Nothobranchius furzeri: one gene and its partners. The protein of the gene in region 2 interacts with the protein of the main gene of each other region in a pairwise test. Links are inferred from orthologs where the notes say so. Each region holds a gene or a part of one and is shown on either strand. Other genes may lie near its edges.

Region 1 (5,635 bases), on a different chromosome or scaffold from region 2:
ATGGGCTTAAGACAAGGATGTGTGGAATCAACCGGGCCAGGCTGGGGCCGACTGGGGCTACCCGGCCCGGGCCGACCCGGTACAGATGGGAATGGCCCAATAGTCCCTGCAGCGTTTCCTTGGTCTCCCTTAAGGTCTCCTCCCAGTTGGGCGTCCCCAGAAAACTTCACTAAGGAGGTGTTCAGGAGGCATCCTGACCAGATGCCTGAGCCACCTCAACTGGCTCCTCTCGATGTGGAGGTGCAGCGGGTCTACTCTGAGCCCCTCCCGGATGACCGAGCTTCTCTCCTCTACTCTAAGGGAGAGCCCGGCCACCCTGTGTAAAAAACTCATTTCGGCCGCTTGCATCCGATTCTGCAATCTTGTTTTTTCGGTCACTACCCAAAGCTTGTGACCACAGATGAGTGTTGGAACGTAGATCGACCGATAAATCTCGAGCTTTACCTTCCTGCTTTTATTGCCATACGTGCAATAAACAACCTTAGGAAATTGCTGCGGTACTTGGTGCAAAAAATAAAAATGAAATAAGAAATACGCACAATAAAAAAATAAATATAAAATTAGTGGCACTGAGCTGCTGTGAATATATAATATTAATATTATATAAAAAATTATATTATATTATTAATAAACCAAGAAACAAACTGCCTGGTTTTACACCATAAAAAAATTATGTTAGCTAGCTTATTAAATTGTTCTAATAATGGTAAATGGTCTGATTTTGTACAGCGCTTTGAATCATCTACTGACTCCAGGGCGCTTTATGCTCACATTCAAACACTGGTGGTGATGAGCTACACTGTAGCCACAGCTGCCCTGGGGCAACCCGACAGAAGCTAGGCCACCGGGTTCTCTGATCAACACAAGTACGCAACAAGTGTGACGTGTCTTGCCCACGGACACGACGACAGGTTGGTGGGAGCAGGGTTTGAACCAGCGACCTCAAATCAGTAACTGACCACTTCTTCCACCTCCCACATGTTACATGGTTACGATGCGTTACACTATTTAAAAAAATGGCAGAAAAGGTGCCAACAACAAGTTGAAAAGACTTTTATCGTTGTTGGACGGCATTCGTATGGTCTGGTGTTAGAACATTTTCTATGACTCCAGGGGGGTCTGCAGAAAAAGGGGTTGAACCTGTTTTTTTTTAATGTAGCTCATTTGAACGTCCGTTTCCTACAACATCCACTGCACCTTTAAATAGCCTGGCCAGCCTTCCTTATGGGAAGCATTGGCATGTTGTAGAATAGACAGAGGGTGAGTCTGGCAGGCCAGGCTACCTTAGAAACACGAAGCTGTTCAAACCAAAGGGTTCAGTCCTGTAGAAATAGTGTTTGTCCACCAGATGGCGCTCTAACCAAACTGTTCAACATAAAGTTGACCTGAACCACTTAGTGACTGTTTCTTTCCAATTTGTCTTTTTTTTAATTAAAACCTTAAAGGCATCAAGTTAAAATTTTACTTTGTATGATATATAAAGAGATCTTTACTCTGAATATATGGAATCATAGAATAATAATCATTCAGGAGACACTTGCATACTTTAATGCTAACTGAACATTCATTTAAGCCGACATGGTTGAATTTCAGTGTCACAATTACCACTGACGGTTGCGCCAACTGAGCGCAGAACAAGCTGATGATGCCGGTTCCACAGCCGAGGTCCATCACCGCCTTGTTCTTCAGGGAGGCACTGTTGCGGAGAACAACCTGCCGGTACGTCTCGGTGCGGCTCCTGTCCGACAACATCTCTAGGTGAAGCTTCTGCATCGTAAGAGATAAACTGAATTTAACATGATGACATGGAGGGGTGAAAATATATCAGAACCATCAGAAACCGTGCTCCCAATCACTCCCGCTAACAGATGAAAAGTAGCAACATAAAACACATGTGTGGTTGATGGTGTGAAAGCAAACCCAACAGGTTTTAATTATGTAGCAGAAGGTGATTAATAAGTGGACGTGAGCACAAGGGCAGCTAGGTTGCTTTATTGAATATGCTGACGTGGTCGCTTTGGCTCATTGATCCTTTACCTGACCGAGGTGCAAATTAGAATCCACAACTTTGACTAAGTCTGAAACATCAGCAGCCTCACCGTGCTGTAAACTGTTCAGTTCCTGATGCCGTTCATGGTTCTGAGGCAGGAAACAAGATTTGTAATAAGCCCCTTTGTTCTATTCCAAACGCTTTTTCAGTTTTTGACTTGAATCCATAACGCTGTGCACACAACACTCCAGCAAATATATTCCATTTAATGGTCTGTTTTCTCTGCAGAGGAAAATCACAGTCACGATACGATTTTCAGAAATACAAAAGATCTGCAGGACCAGTCCTCTAGTCCCTGCAGTCGTAAAGAACAGAGGAGGCTAATGTGACTTTTTAATGGTGCTGCACTCTTTCTGACTATGTGCAGAAATCTCTGCACAACAAATCCATAATAAACCTGCAAATAACCTCTTAATTATTAAAGATTTGTTGAGGTAAATATCTATTCCTAGCCCCCACAAAATGAACACATAACATGCATGAATGACGAGGACAAGAAATCTCCTCTAATGAACAGAACAGTGGCAGAATCTCATTATCGATTTCCGGTGTTGTTATTAACAAAGCTTGAATTTTGTCAAAAACTCAAAAACACGTATTAATGTTTCTTTTATTTTAATGGCATTAAAGTATTTTTGAATCCGCCGCAAACTCATATGCTTCAATGCTACTGAGACAACATCAGTAAAGTCTCTACGGAGGTTAGAGATTAGGATTTAGGTGGAGAACAGGCCACACACACTGCTGCCTCAGGAGACTAACACTTTATTTATTTTTTTAACTTCAGCAGCATTCCTGGATGTAAAAATAAACCCCAAACTAAGCAGATTCTGCAAAAAAATTAAATAAATAAAATTTAAGAATGACATAATCATCTAAGGAACAACAGATGGGATATTTTCTCTGTGGGTGTGCCATTTCACTATTATTTCTCAAGTATTGTACTTTTTAAGTTTTTGTGTGCTTTACAGTCAAAACCTGACATGATATAGTGTAGAGCTCAAATTCAGGCTAAACTTATGAAGATATTGCAGCTTCTACACATTCTAAATGCACAAGTGTTGCTTTAATCATGCAAACCGACCTAAAGTTTCATAGGATAAATGTTTGATGTTTCTGACCAGTGTTCCATAGCTCCCAAAGTACTCTTCATCCTGCCAGGGGTCTTCTATAGAGGTGTCTTCCTCCTCAGCTGTGTCCTGGCGCAGGTAGCTGGCAGGGACATACCCTATGACCCCACGGACCTCCGCCCACCACCAGGCTGCAGAAGGTTTGGCGTGAACAAGCAGCTTGTCCCCTGAGCTGAAACTAAGCTGCGGGACACAAGTGATGAAGTGAGTGTGTTCTGTGGCTGAACCGCTGTTTGTTTGCCTCTAACCTGCTCGGAGCCACTTCCTGAGAAATCAGACAAAGCCACAAACTCTTCAGGAGACGCGTCTTCTTCGTCCTCTTTCTCCGCCTCCATGTTCCAGAGGGTTCAGGCGAGTGAAGTGGTTTTGTTTTATAAATTGTCTCAAATTTTGAACCTGACAAATCTGGGTTTAAAAATAACCAAAACGTGCTTTGTTACCACAGCGAAACAAGCGGTAAAACGCGTCACGCACTTCCTGCTTTGGTGCTGCCTTCAAGTCTGTCGGAAATAGCTGAATTCGTGCGTGACCACTGTTTACACGCACATAGCATATCGTGCTTTAAAAAGAACTGAAAGATAGAATTTGAAACTAAACACAGCAAGAACACACCAACGATAGCAGATCATTTAAAGGGGAACTGCGAGTTTTTATTTTACTCTCTAGACCAGGGATGTCCAAACTTTTCAAGGCGAGGGCTAAAATGGCTGTTTAAAGTCACTGGGGGCCACAAGAATGTAGGTTTCTTCATAAAAAATTGCAAGCATTATTTTGTGGCAATTTTTCTTATTTGTGCTCTTCAAAATGAACCCAAAATAGGCTAATAAGTAAAAATCTCAACACAAACATGTTAGAAAGTGGGTTACATTCCACATGGAAAGACAAAATTCATCATTCTAAAAATTCAAATGGAGGCCTTACAAAATCGCTTGGAGGGCCGTAAATGCCCCCCGAGCCACACTGGACACGCCTACTCTAGAGTAAATACAAAACTATATAATTAAGCTCCTTGCTCAAAACTAGTCTCGCATAAAGTGAGCAGCTTTTTAAGTACTTTCTAGAATGAGCCGTTCTTTCACTTTAAGCAAAACAGTTTCTGGTCCCTGATTGGTTGCCGTTGGAGGAGGTCATCCAGCATCTGAAGTTGAAGGGATTCTATGATAATTTTATTTGTGATGTCACAATATAGAATTTTTTGAAAAATAGTTTTTTCTGTTCTTATCTTGCACACAGAGTAGCAAAGTTTTGTTTTTTTACGTTACCTGCTGAAAGTTTCGGCGTTGCAGAGATTCGCCATTCTGGCGGCGTCACTTCCGCTGTTTATCCACTGAAGATGCCTAAACGAAGCGATTGAGATTGGTAAACGTGGACTCTGGGCCATGAAAAGTGATGGAGTTTACACGCTGGATCATTCATGGGACGTGGTGATCGGCAGGGAAGGTGCGGGCTGTAGAGGGCGACATCGTTCCACACCGCCCGGGATTAACAGCAGAAGTGACGACACCGCAGAAGCTCTGATGATGGCGACTGTGATGCCCTGTCAGCAAAAAAAAAAAAAAAAAAAAAAAAGATAAAGAAGAAAAAACATTTTGCTTCGCTTTACAAAATAAGAACAGAAAACCCATGGAAATAGAAGAGAAACACAGAAAAGCACAAGGAATTTTTGAAACAGCTCATTTCAGACGAATAACACCTGAAGTCAAACTCAACAAGTGAAAGCACAGATTTTATCCTTGTTTGGATATGTGTAGGGGTAGTAGAGTCATATGGCAGCTCTAAAAATGCAAAAAGTGCATTTTGCACACGTCCCTGTGAGTTTATTGACGTTGGGGAAAAGCTGGTTATTTTTCAGCTTGAATTGCTTGTTCTTCTCATATTCTACATGTTTGAATTTTTTTATTTAAAGTACATAAAAGGAAAAAAAAAAACAACTTTGCCTAAACTGGTTCGTAAATTAAATTTTCAATTGTGAAAAATCTAATATTTGTTTCCTACAATGGCTTGGGAATCAGAATCAGAATCGGTTTATTGCCATTGTCAGTGAACAAACAATTCACAAACTAGGAACTTGCTTTGGTACTAAAGTGCTACATATAACATGAACACATAATAAGATTAAAAATAGAATAAAACTTTCAGCTATAAAAATGGCAGGTAATGGTAACACGGCCGATAACGTGACGAACAACACCCAATCCACTTTGGTATGTTAATCTGTATTTATGTAACTTTTCTAAACATAAACTTGCCTCTACTTAACACTTATTGGCAGTGTATAAATGTAGAGTGACAGTATACAGTATAAAATAACATTTATTATAATATTAACAAATTTAATTACAAAACCAACAAAACATAGAAACATCACTGGGTAATTTTCAGTGAGATAAACATGTTACAGCTTTTGGTAGATCGGTAAGTTTTGATAGTACAATAAAATGCTTATTGGTTGTGT
Region 2 (5,433 bases):
CGTGAGGGCACGACATGAACATAATCTTCCAGACATTATACCGAGACTCCTGACATTTTAATTGACCGTAACATTATCACCAACATTAGTCGGCATTTGACTTTATTTCTGAGACGTATACGTTTGTTTCGCTAACCTAAACGCTGCTTTACCTGCAACTAAAGCTAACAGGGCATGTCATGCTATCTCGTTCTTTGCTATGAATGCAGCTGTATCTCAAAACACGCAAAATTACAGCAATTTTTCTATTTATTTACAATTTTAATAAAAGAAGCAAAAGTGAAAGGATTCTGGTGCCGTCATTCATGGAAAAGCCTTGCTTGTGGGGCTGGGCAGATCAAATAAAATCAAATCACTTTTATTGTCACGTCACATGTGCAGGTACACTGGTACAGTACATGCGAGTGAAATTCTTGTGTGCGAGCTTCACAGCAACAGAGTTGTGCAAAAATACAGTAATGTAAAAACAAGTAAAATATAAAAATGGCTAATCTAAATATACAAATGAATAAAGTAAACAATAAGATAAGAGATATAAAATGTACAGACTGAGGTTGGTATGTGCAAAACAGTGGCAATCCCTTGATGGAGTACTCTAAACAAAAACTAAATAAGGATATTAAAATTACACATTAACTGTTAGAAATAAAGCCTTTAAAAGGGATTTGAAGAACGTTTCTGTTTTCCTGTGCATGCCAGTTTCTCACTAAACACCCTAAAACAATGAAAAGAGAAAACATCTGTCTATAATATTTTTGTGCTATAAAACTATTGCCTTGAGTTCTATTCTGCCATAAATTTGAGGCTTTTTTTGTTCACTTTTTCAAGTTTGGGTGTTTTATGTGCAAGAATGAAAGCTTAACTCATGCGTTCTTCTGTTTGTTCTTGCAGTGTATCACTGGATCGAAATGAGAACGAAGATGCGGATCATGGGCTTCAAGGGCGCCACCATCAAGCCGCTGAACGAGGATGCGGCAGCAGAGTTGGGTGCAGAGTTGCTGGGAGAGGCAATCATTTTCCTTATCGGTGGCGGGTGTATGGTGGTGGAGTACAGCAGGCAGGCCGCCAACTCCCGTCGCAAGGAGGAGGAGCTGAACGAGACTATCACAAGCCTAAAGACTGAAATAGCAGAGTTAACATTAACAACAGAGACTCTTGACACTCAGCTGAAGGAGGTCAAGAGGCTCCTGCTTTACTTGCCTGCTCCCACTAAAAAGTGACAACATTTGATATGCATTTAATTGTTGGCCTGTGTGTGAAGGTGCATTCAAACAACACTGTCAAGTGCACAACTTGATTTCTGCCTTTCTCCACACTGCCCCCCGCCACAGAGCTGGGAGAAAAAGGTGGACATCAGTGCACTGTGAGTTTGGGAGCTATCATTTGCTCATGCTTTGAGCAACAATAAAGGAACACTATGATATTCATAGTAAATTTTGATCGATGACTTTGCATGTTTACTTAAAATAAAATTAACTACATGAGAGGCAATGGTGAACTTAGAGTTAATTTATTTTATAGCAGCTTGAGCATACTTCCATATCAATTCAAGTAAACAAATCTTATAGAATTTGAACATTTTGCTTTGTGTTTCTCAGCAGATGATTTGTGTTCTGAGTTATTAAATGCATTCCAAAAAAATTAAATCAGATCACAGCTGTTATTTTTCTACAGTTTTTACATCAGATGTATGATTATTGGTTTATATAAACCTGAGTAAGGATGGTGTTAAATCAATATGCTGTGTAATTCTGTTGTTATCCCCTCTTCAGTGTGAGCTAAACCATGGGTGTGCTGTATTATGCGCTTGATGCTTGAGTTTTTACTTGATGTGTAGTTTTAAATTCACTTAACTATTTCCAGTTACAGATTATTTATAAAGCACTTTACGCAGGACATAAAAGCCCAGGTAAGTCCTGTACACAGAGGAAATTACAATAAGACAACTGTAGCTAGGCCTACCTAAAATAAAGATAAAACAGATGTTTTACTTATAAACAAGGCCTCATAGCTATATATACATATATATATATATATATATATATATATATATATATATATATATATATATATATATATATATATGTATATATATATATATAATCACTGCCACAATTTCATATATGTGTGTAGACCGACACATTAGTGTGAATACTTTAATAAAGTCAATTATAAATTTACCATTTCGGAAAAACATTAGAAAAGGGTAATAGTGAAAAACCGACCCTTTTGCGCGTGCGCATTGGATTTACTGTCGTGATGTTGGTGTGCGGCTCTAGGGGGCGCTAGTTGTTCTTTCAGTCTTTTACCTCGACTATAACCCGCGCAGCTCGCGTCAAAGAAGGTAGGCCTCAGCTATATTTGTAATGAAATTGTATTTTATTATTACGTTATAAAGTGTATGTGCGATGCATTTACTGTAGCATCTGCATGAGAATCTTAAGTATCAGAAGGCGCATTACAGAAGGCGTATTTTATCAAAATTAAAGTATCTTGTGTTGCATTGCTTGACGGAACACAAGCTAACGCTAGTCTCAAAGTGTATCCGTCGTTAGCCGCACTGACAATTTTCATTATAGGAAACAAACAAATGTAGTTGAGTGACATTTTTTCATCTCACAGAACATAAATTTAAACATATTTACGAGCCTTGTCTGTTATAGGTCATCAAGACTTCATATTTGAGTTGTGTAAATCTGTTCATAGGTGTTAGCCTAGCTAAAACATTACGTATCCTGTTCAGGCAGAAACGGCGCGACAAGGATCCGTTTGAAAGTTGGGGCTCATCGATGCTAACTACGCTTCTGTTCTTTCTGCGTTGTTAGAGAAAGACCACAACCGTGAACAAATTACATCGACCATGAGTTTAGACGTAAAGAAACTGAAAGTAAACGAGCTGAAGGAAGAGCTCCAGCGCCGCGGCCTGGATACTAAAGGCCTGAAGGCGGACTTGATGGAGAGGCTGAAATCCGCCCTGGAGGAAGAAGCTCAGGAGGAAACATCTGAACAGGCAGAGCAGGAGGATGCCCACAATCAGGAATACCAGGAGGAAGAAGAGGAACAAGGTAGAGCTCCGTTAGCTGTAGTTATAGCTTTACTCTTTTATTCGCTGTCTAGTTTAGGATTTGGGACCATTTCACACTTTAAAAGTTATGAACAATAATTCCCCAAGCCTGCTGCTAAGATGACACGTGTCATTGTCTCATTTGCTCATAAACAGTTACTTCATCTACTACTACTTAATTGATTTGAGTTTAAGATTGTTTTGGTAGTTTGACACTTTGTATTTTGTTTTACACGATTATAAAAAAAATTGTTCTTGTTTATTTTAGAAAAAAATATTTGAACACAACTTGTTTGTTTACTAGTCTCCATAAAATAAATATATATATCTTTTAAATCATTCATTTGACTTTTTTTGCAATTAAACGTTTTCTCCGTTTTAGGTGCAAATGCAGCTCAAGACTTTGGAAATGAAAGTGGTGGTGATGATGAAAATGTTCCGCAAGACGAAGATGAAGGCAGAGATTCTGGTGGCTATTATGAGGAAGAGGAGGCAGAAGGCGAGCCTCGCAAAGGCCAGCAAGATTCAGATTTGGGTCAAGGCGCACCGGACTTCACAGCAGATGAGGATATTCACGGATCAAACATGTTTGAGGAGGAGACAAAACCAGAAGAATTGCCGGAGGAGAGAGTGGAGATTAAAAATGGTTACTATTCAGTTTCTAACTTTCAAGCATTTTGTAGTTCTACCACAAAAATGTTGTTAATTTAATCATGTGGTCACTGTTATTCTGCTGAGAGAACATTTGACAGCGAGTTTTATTCACATGTTAAAAATGATTTTGTATTTTAGAAGTTGCAGTCAAAGTAAAAACAGAAGAAGAGGAGACTGAACCTGTTGAAAACAAACAGCAGGATGGAGAGCAGCAGCAAGAACGAGATGCTGCAGACTTGGCTGAGCGGGTGAAAGTGGAAGATAAAGGTGGAAACTACAGCCGTAAGAGGCCACACGAGGAGAACCGGCGCTACGGCTACGAGAAGAGGTAAGTTGCTTAACCCATAAAGCTTCTTGATGTATTTTTTTGTACACAGTGTTTGTGTTTTTGTGAGTAATTTTGTCTTTGCAAATTAGGGCTGAACATTTGCAAGAAATTGCGATTTGAGTTTAATTCACGATTTTATTGAAATCAAAGTTCAACATGGTCACAAAATAACCATATAAATTATACCATGAAAACATCATTTTTTCTCCCATTATCTGTTTTATTCTTCATGTTTTAATGTGTTTGTGAAGCGACTTGTTGTGATTTTAATTTGGAGAAGTGCTTTATAAAAATACGTTCTTCTTGTGTTACTCTAATAGTGCAAGGAGGAAAACTAAAGGTAAAATTGCTTTCAACTATTGACAAATATGCATAAAGAGTTTTCCCTGCATTATTTACCGAGTCAGGCTGGCTGGGTGTCTTTCTGTGCCGACTGCAGCAATAAAAAAAAATGCCACCTCTGCATAGGGAAGAGGAGTGTGCGTGCACGCGTCTGCAGTAAATGTGGACAGGCTGTGTGCAAAGAGCACATAACTGTTCTTTGCATTGTCTGCACCGGTCAGCGCCCCCACCACTCACACCCTCACTTGTTCTTTGTGTGATGTTTTGCAATAAACGGTTCAACTGGCCGTCTGTGTGTAAGTGTTTTTGTGCACCAGAAGGGAAAAGTAGAAAGACTAAACAAACATTTGTATGCCTGCGTGTGTCATTCCAAAGCTCTGACACAGAAATATTTAAATTGTTATTTTTTTCAGTGCATACTTTAATCATAAACCACACTGAAGGCATCAAATATCAGAAATGCAAATGTTTTATTGTGTTTTGTGAGTTCTGCAGCCAAAAATTAAATTAATCAAAAAAATGTTGACTTATGAAATATTTTTCAAGGGAAAAATGTGCTATTTTCACGGGAAAAAAGCTGTAAATGGCATTTTGTATCCAACTTCAAAGTGATGTAAAATAACGCAGCTGCTGTAACCCAAACCAGACCACTTTCTGTTCAAGCCTCTAAAGGTGATCCTTTTCTGGTTGTGCACAGATCTCGAACACCCCAGCCTCCTGCTGAAGATGAGGAGGAGAACATTGACGACACTCTAGTGACAATTGATCCATGTAAGTTCAAACTTTTACTTTTTCATCTTTAAAAACCCACATTTGGTGTAAAAATTCAAGTGACGGCTCTCGTTTCTTCTGCTGGAGGCGTTCTAACGGGTCAGAGTTAGCTGGATTTGAGGCTAACGCTAATCACGTCCTCCGTTTCCACTGAGAGGTCTGAAATCTTGTTTTCCAAATCAGCTGTGGTCTGGAGATTGGTCTGCCATGAACTTAGTGCTTGGTGTTGGTTCTGGCTGCAGCAGCCTCAGTTCTCAGTAACACAGAGGCTCCA
Region 3 (5,555 bases), on a different chromosome or scaffold from region 2:
GAAGAAGAGGAGGGGGTAAAGCAACGAAGCTGCAACCAATAGCGTAAAAAATCCACTCACCTTAAATCCTGCGAGTCTCCAGCGCGGAGATGGAGAGGAAGAGGAGGAGGATGCGCACGAGGCTGTTGCTGTAAACCGAGTGATGATGATGATGATGCGCGCTTCGGAGGAGAGAAGCCCACGCCATCCACGCACACCGAAGTGGTCCCCTCCCCCCCTCGCGAGCTCACATCTCGCAGCGCACATCTTATTTTCTGGCGCAAATCTGTGCATAATTAGCGATTTGTTTAATTTTTTTTAAATGCGCGTTTTTATATTTTTAAGTTCAGGAACAATGTGTCCAAAAACCGGAACTCATCACACTATCAAACGTTGCGCACGTGCGATTACGCCTGATTCCTGTTGCCATGACAACCTTTGGTTGCTTCGGGATTGGCTCCAAGGTACTTCTTACTAATATTTTTTTAACTTCAACTGTGAGAAAATAAATGCGCAAATCAGCTGATGGATCTATTTTAGGAAAATTAAATACAGCATCCAAAACTTAAGGAAACTATTCTCCCCTTTTCTTTTATTTCACAACTGACTAAAAAAATTTTGTAGAGCAATAAATGTCCAAAGAAAACATTTTAAAAAAATTCTTTTAAAAATATTTTTGGATTTTAATCCCAACAGTAGGGAATATCACTTTACTTTTTAAATAAAACCATAATACCTGAGAGTATATGACCTACTGGGGCCCCTGCCTCAAGTTATAAATACCTTTTGGACATAAATTAGAACATATTACTCTCTCACCTGCTTATTATGCAGCTTTTACTCATAAACTAATTTCTGGTACATTACAAGTTTATTAGTAATAATTAAACGCAAAAATATCCAAAAGTTGTACTAAAATGTTTATTTGCCAATTTTCTGTTTATCTGTACAATGAGCATAAATCAAAAACAGTTGGTTAAATTACTTCCAAGATAACAAAATCCAGTAGATCGAAACATGTATTTAAAAAAACAACAAGCTGAATGTTCCTGTGGTCTGACGTGGATCACGGAGCTCTTGGTGCTCTCAAGGGACCCGAGGAGGGGCACCGGGAGGTCTTGGTGGCATTGGAGGTGCTCTCTGGAAACCAAAAGGAGGTGGACGAGGAGGAACGGCACCATAGCCGGGAGGAGGCATGGGGGGAGGTCCTCTCATACCTGGAGGCACAGGGTGGGCTTGGGAAAAAAAAAAAAAAAAAAAGAAATAACAGGTTAAAAACAACTTTCATTTAAAAAAAATTGTATTTTTGAGAAAATGCCACAGTGCTCACCCATGGGGGGTCCATACGGTGCTCTGGGAGGCATGCCCATAGGAGGTGGGGGCATGCTGGGGGGCGGTGGAGCTCGAGCCGATCCTGGTGGAGCAGGTGGAGGCACCATGCCAGGAGGAGCAGGCGGCATGGGCATCTGAGGCATACCTGTGGGCCCGGATCAAACAAATAAAAATAACTCATTCAGGGCTAACAGCTGCATTTTAATAACCTGACATTTAAATTGAAACATTATTGTTTTTATTTCTTCACATTTGAAGGAGATGACTGAGGTTGATCCTGCACAATTTTATTAATCGTTATTGGACTTCTTAAAGCTAAAATGGGGAGCAGAGACTTAAATTTTCAGGCTTTTCTGCAACCGAGTTATACCTGGAGGCATGCTGGCCGGTGCGAAAGGTGGAGGAACAGCTGGAGGTCCACCAAGAGAAGATGGAGGACCTGGTGTCCCTGCTGATGGAGGCATGCCCATAGAAGGGGGCATCGTTGGAGGCATTGATCCAGGGGGAGGAACGTGAGGAAAGGCACCAGGAGGCGGCAAACCTGCGCAAAAAAAAAAACAAAACTATTATATAATTAACCCAATAAATGTAGAAAGGTACTTCTTTATCGGCAGTTAAGATTAGAGCAGTCATACCATGAAGAGGAATCCCGGGGCCCATTGCGGTTAGGAGTGGCGTCTGTGCAGATGGTGGGGGCGGAGCATCTGCAAACAGCTGATGTGGCCTGTCTGCCTGCGAGAGAGGGTTTTGTGCAGCTAGCAGTCGCTCTGCCGCTGAGCCATGGCGTTCTCCTTTAGAATCTTTCTTGAACGCGTACGACACAGTGATGGGCCGGTTGCACAGGTACTGGCCATTCATGGCCTCGATGGCGGCGTCGGACGCATCAAAGCTGGCAAAGTTGATGAAGGCGTAACCCTTGGAGTTGCCGGTGTCTGGGTCTCGCATGATCTTTGGAGTTTGTAGAATAACGCCAAAAGCACTGAACGTGTCGTAGAGCAGTTTTTCATCGATCTCCGGGTCCAAGTTCCCGATGAAGATATTAGCGCCAACATCCAGGTTTTTGTTGTGGGCGGAGGCCTTATTCACGCGAATCGGTTTGCCGTAGAGCTTAATCATGTTCATGATTTTAATGGCATAGTCAGCATCTTCCTCACTGAGGAACTCCACAAATCCATAACCTGAGTGGAACAGTTTCATTTGTTATGTACATTGTTACAGTGAATTTTAGGACTTTCATCCCATCTTGAATAGCCTGATTCTCACCTTGATGTTGACCTGTGACCCGATCTTTGGGCATGTGTGTGTTGACAACAGGGCCAGCCTGCAGAAAAAGCTCCCATAGCAACGGCTCTGACACCTTCTCATCCAAACCACCGACATACACGGTGGCATCTGGAAACACAAGAAAATACCTATTAAGGAAAACGGTGTTTACATTGATAGGTGAGCATTGCTACATGCTAATGTCGCGAGTTTTTAAGGCTAACTTTAGTTGTTTAGTGGTTCTAGTCCTGACTTGGAATAATCTCTGCATTTCAAATAAACAACATAAAACTCCCGTATGCTATCGTGAAGTCAAGCATTAAGTAATACAAGCATTAAGTAATACAATTAAAATAAACAAAAAACGGCTAACTTAGCTAGAAGCTAGGCTAACGAGACCGGAGACTTCCATGTGTTTGAGTACGCATTTACCCCCAAAACACGGGCTAATTAGACAGCTAACATTGGTGGGAAAGAGCGGATAAGAATTTCAATTGTTATAAATCAAGAGATATCGCTAAATAATGAAGGTGTAAGCGTTAAACCATTTAAACAATGAAATTACCTTGGTTTCTTTCTGAAATTGGTCCCGCTGCCATGTTGAATGACCAACGCTGGGAGAGCGTTGTGAAGGGAAGGCCCGCCTCTTCCGGTAAAACCCAACAAAATAAAATAAGATCAAATAAATTAAAGTAAAAATAAACTAATTCTTCTGTTTTTGTAGTTACATAAAAAATTGTTATACTCTGATTACACTAAAGACCCAGACATTCCTAAACAAAAAAAGACAGCAAATAAATGAATGTTAATTAAAAACTTGAAAGGCAATCAAAATCACTAAGTTTCATTTGAATTGATTTGATAGTTTTTTCTGGGATATTTTTAGTTGTATGGCACTTAACCATTAACAACAAATTCAAAACAAAGCCACAATTATTTTTATTATTTGATTTATTTCATATACATATAAATATACTAAAGGTATAAACATGGAATACAAAGTGTTCATAGAAAATACACACATTTAGGGTCTCAAAAATTTTAGAAAGTAACTATTTTTTATATATATATATATATATATATATAAAACACACATTAAAAATAGAAACTAACATCATGCACCAAAGACAAAAAATAAAACTGTTGCCAAAGCTGTTTATAAAATGAATTTAAAATAAGCATCAGTAAGGGAGCCTTCATAGATAATAGTCATTAAAATAACTGAAAGAGCTGAGAATAATTAATGGCTTGTGAAGAAAAATACATCTACTGAACTTTATTTTAAAAAGTAAACCTTAAAAATAAACAAAATTAAAGACCTCCAGGCTCACTCATTAAACCTGCTCAAATACACTTATTACATTTTCTTTTTTTGGCCCCTAAAACGAGAACAGAATTTCACAACACAAACCAAATAATGCAACACATATTTCACAAGCTGATTCACTAAAACCCGGTGTTCATAAACACAATCGCCTTCTTTTAACCTTCATAATATTTGTCACATAATAAAGAAATAATTTGACATTATGGCATAAATATGAGAAAGTATAGCACTGTCATGATACTTAGAGATAGTTTGGCTAGCAGGGAGCGAACCAAGTTGCTTCCTGGTTAGGAAGTGTTGCTTGGCAATCACCAAAGACCACAGAAAGAGAAAGGTTTAGACTAATTAAAAAAAACAAGTTATAGGCTGTTTTGCAATATGAGTACTTGTTTAAACGTGTGTACTATATTAATTGTGAAATGTCATTGGCGTTAGCCCGTGTACTGTTCCAATACCAAGTACGCATCATGGCAAGTACGCTCAAAGTTCCTGGATGTGTTCGTCCTTCACCCATTACAATAAAGTATCCATCTTTGGACTTGGACCAGAAAAGTATCCCATAATGCATTTAGTCACAAACCGTTATACCACAAATAGATAGTAAAGCTCATAAAAATAAAAATAATTACGTCTTCAAAGGGCCGCTCAAAAGACTGGCTCTTTTGAACGAAGCAAAGAAGTCTCAGTGAGAGTGGAAGGAGGGGGGCTGTTCATGATGGACGAAACCATAATGCATATTATTGAGCCTTTTATATACTTCAGCCTGATAATTTTGTTGTTTTATTTCATATTTTTTAGCAGTAAACCAGTTTTTTTTCGCTTGAAACGTTGTCGGATGGAATAGTCAATTAATCAACAGAAGCTTAGAATAGAACACTTAACAAAAAAATATTTAGCCTTTAAAAAAGAGAGGCAGTTGAATGCACAGAGTATGCATGTGCCGGCGCATGGTCAGGATGGTACCACCTTTGACTCAATTTGAGCCAGGAAAACCCTGGTTTAAAATAAAATTATTTTTGTATTTTCTTTTCTATTAAAAAAATCCAATTTTTCTGTCCCAAGAGGACAATTTAGGCTCTCGTCTTGAAAAGTTTGGACACCCCTGTTTGGCTAAAGGTAGCTATAGTATATGCATTATTCTATAAAAGACAGAGAAAAGCTACTCTCTTTAATAAAACTAAACTCTTCCTTCTAGTGTTTTATTTGCCAGCTACTAAAATTCTGTGTAATAAGTTTCAGCTGCTGATAATTTAGCTTTCAGCCACAAGAATGAGCCCGTGTGTTTCTGCTTTCCAAGCTTCTGCTCATTTCTCTCAAATCAAGAGCCCCGCTTCAACAATGACTCGCTTGTCTTTTTTACATTAAGCTGCCAAAATACTTCTTGTTGAAATGCCTTTATAATGTATTAAATATATTCTAGAAAAAAAAAGAAAAATATGTTTTTAAATTCAACATTTAACCCTAATAATAAGAGTGAGTTACATGGTTTTCAGTCCTAACACTGAGGCTCTAAGCAACTGCGATCATATGGAGTAGCTTTATAGTTGAAAGCACTTAAAAAATAAAATAAAATACATTCGGCTAGTGTCGTAATCACAAATCACACTAAAAATATAGAAAACAGTGAAAGAAACCTTCACAAACAAGTGCCGGT

Evidence for each region.
Region 1: the proteins of hnrnpul1 (region 2) and prmt2 interact in a two-hybrid assay, tested with the Homo sapiens proteins (2 studies listed by BioGRID and IntAct). The link is inferred for Nothobranchius furzeri from reciprocal best matches to the Homo sapiens genes HNRNPUL1 and PRMT2.
Region 3: the proteins of hnrnpul1 (region 2) and sf3b4 interact in binary tests that used the Homo sapiens proteins (3 or more experiments, as listed by UniProt). The link is inferred for Nothobranchius furzeri from reciprocal best matches to the Homo sapiens genes HNRNPUL1 and SF3B4.

Annotation. Positions count from the first base shown.
Region 1 is NC_091754.1:17,486,146-17,491,780, reverse strand, and holds the start of prmt2 (protein arginine N-methyltransferase 2), read right to left. Parts: upstream 3,566-5,635; 5' UTR 3,516-3,565; coding exon 3,429-3,515; exon of another isoform or gene 3,396-3,428; intron 3,364-3,395; coding exon 3,172-3,363; intron 1,768-3,171; coding exon 1,606-1,767; intron 1-1,605. UniProt on the Homo sapiens protein: Arginine methyltransferase that methylates the guanidino nitrogens of arginyl residues in proteins such as STAT3, FBL, histone H4. Acts as a coactivator (with NCOA2) of the androgen receptor (AR)-mediated transactivation.
Region 2 is NC_091753.1:58,646,902-58,652,334, forward strand, and holds the start of hnrnpul1 (heterogeneous nuclear ribonucleoprotein U-like protein 1), read left to right. Parts: upstream 1-2,253; 5' UTR 2,254-2,344; intron 2,345-2,825; 5' UTR 2,826-2,860; coding exon 2,861-3,065; intron 3,066-3,446; coding exon 3,447-3,710; intron 3,711-3,856; coding exon 3,857-4,046; intron 4,047-5,085; coding exon 5,086-5,159; intron 5,160-5,433. Other genes in the region: opa3 (optic atrophy 3 protein homolog), read left to right, coding at 892-1,220.
Region 3 is NC_091759.1:1,629,176-1,634,730, reverse strand, and holds sf3b4 (splicing factor 3B subunit 4), read right to left. Parts: upstream 3,409-5,555; 5' UTR 3,174-3,408; coding exon 3,140-3,173; intron 2,704-3,139; coding exon 2,575-2,703; intron 2,490-2,574; coding exon 1,947-2,489; intron 1,853-1,946; coding exon 1,682-1,852; intron 1,457-1,681; coding exon 1,310-1,456; intron 1,215-1,309; coding exon 1,066-1,214; 3' UTR 887-1,065; downstream 1-886. UniProt on the Homo sapiens protein: Component of the 17S U2 SnRNP complex of the spliceosome, a large ribonucleoprotein complex that removes introns from transcribed pre-mRNAs.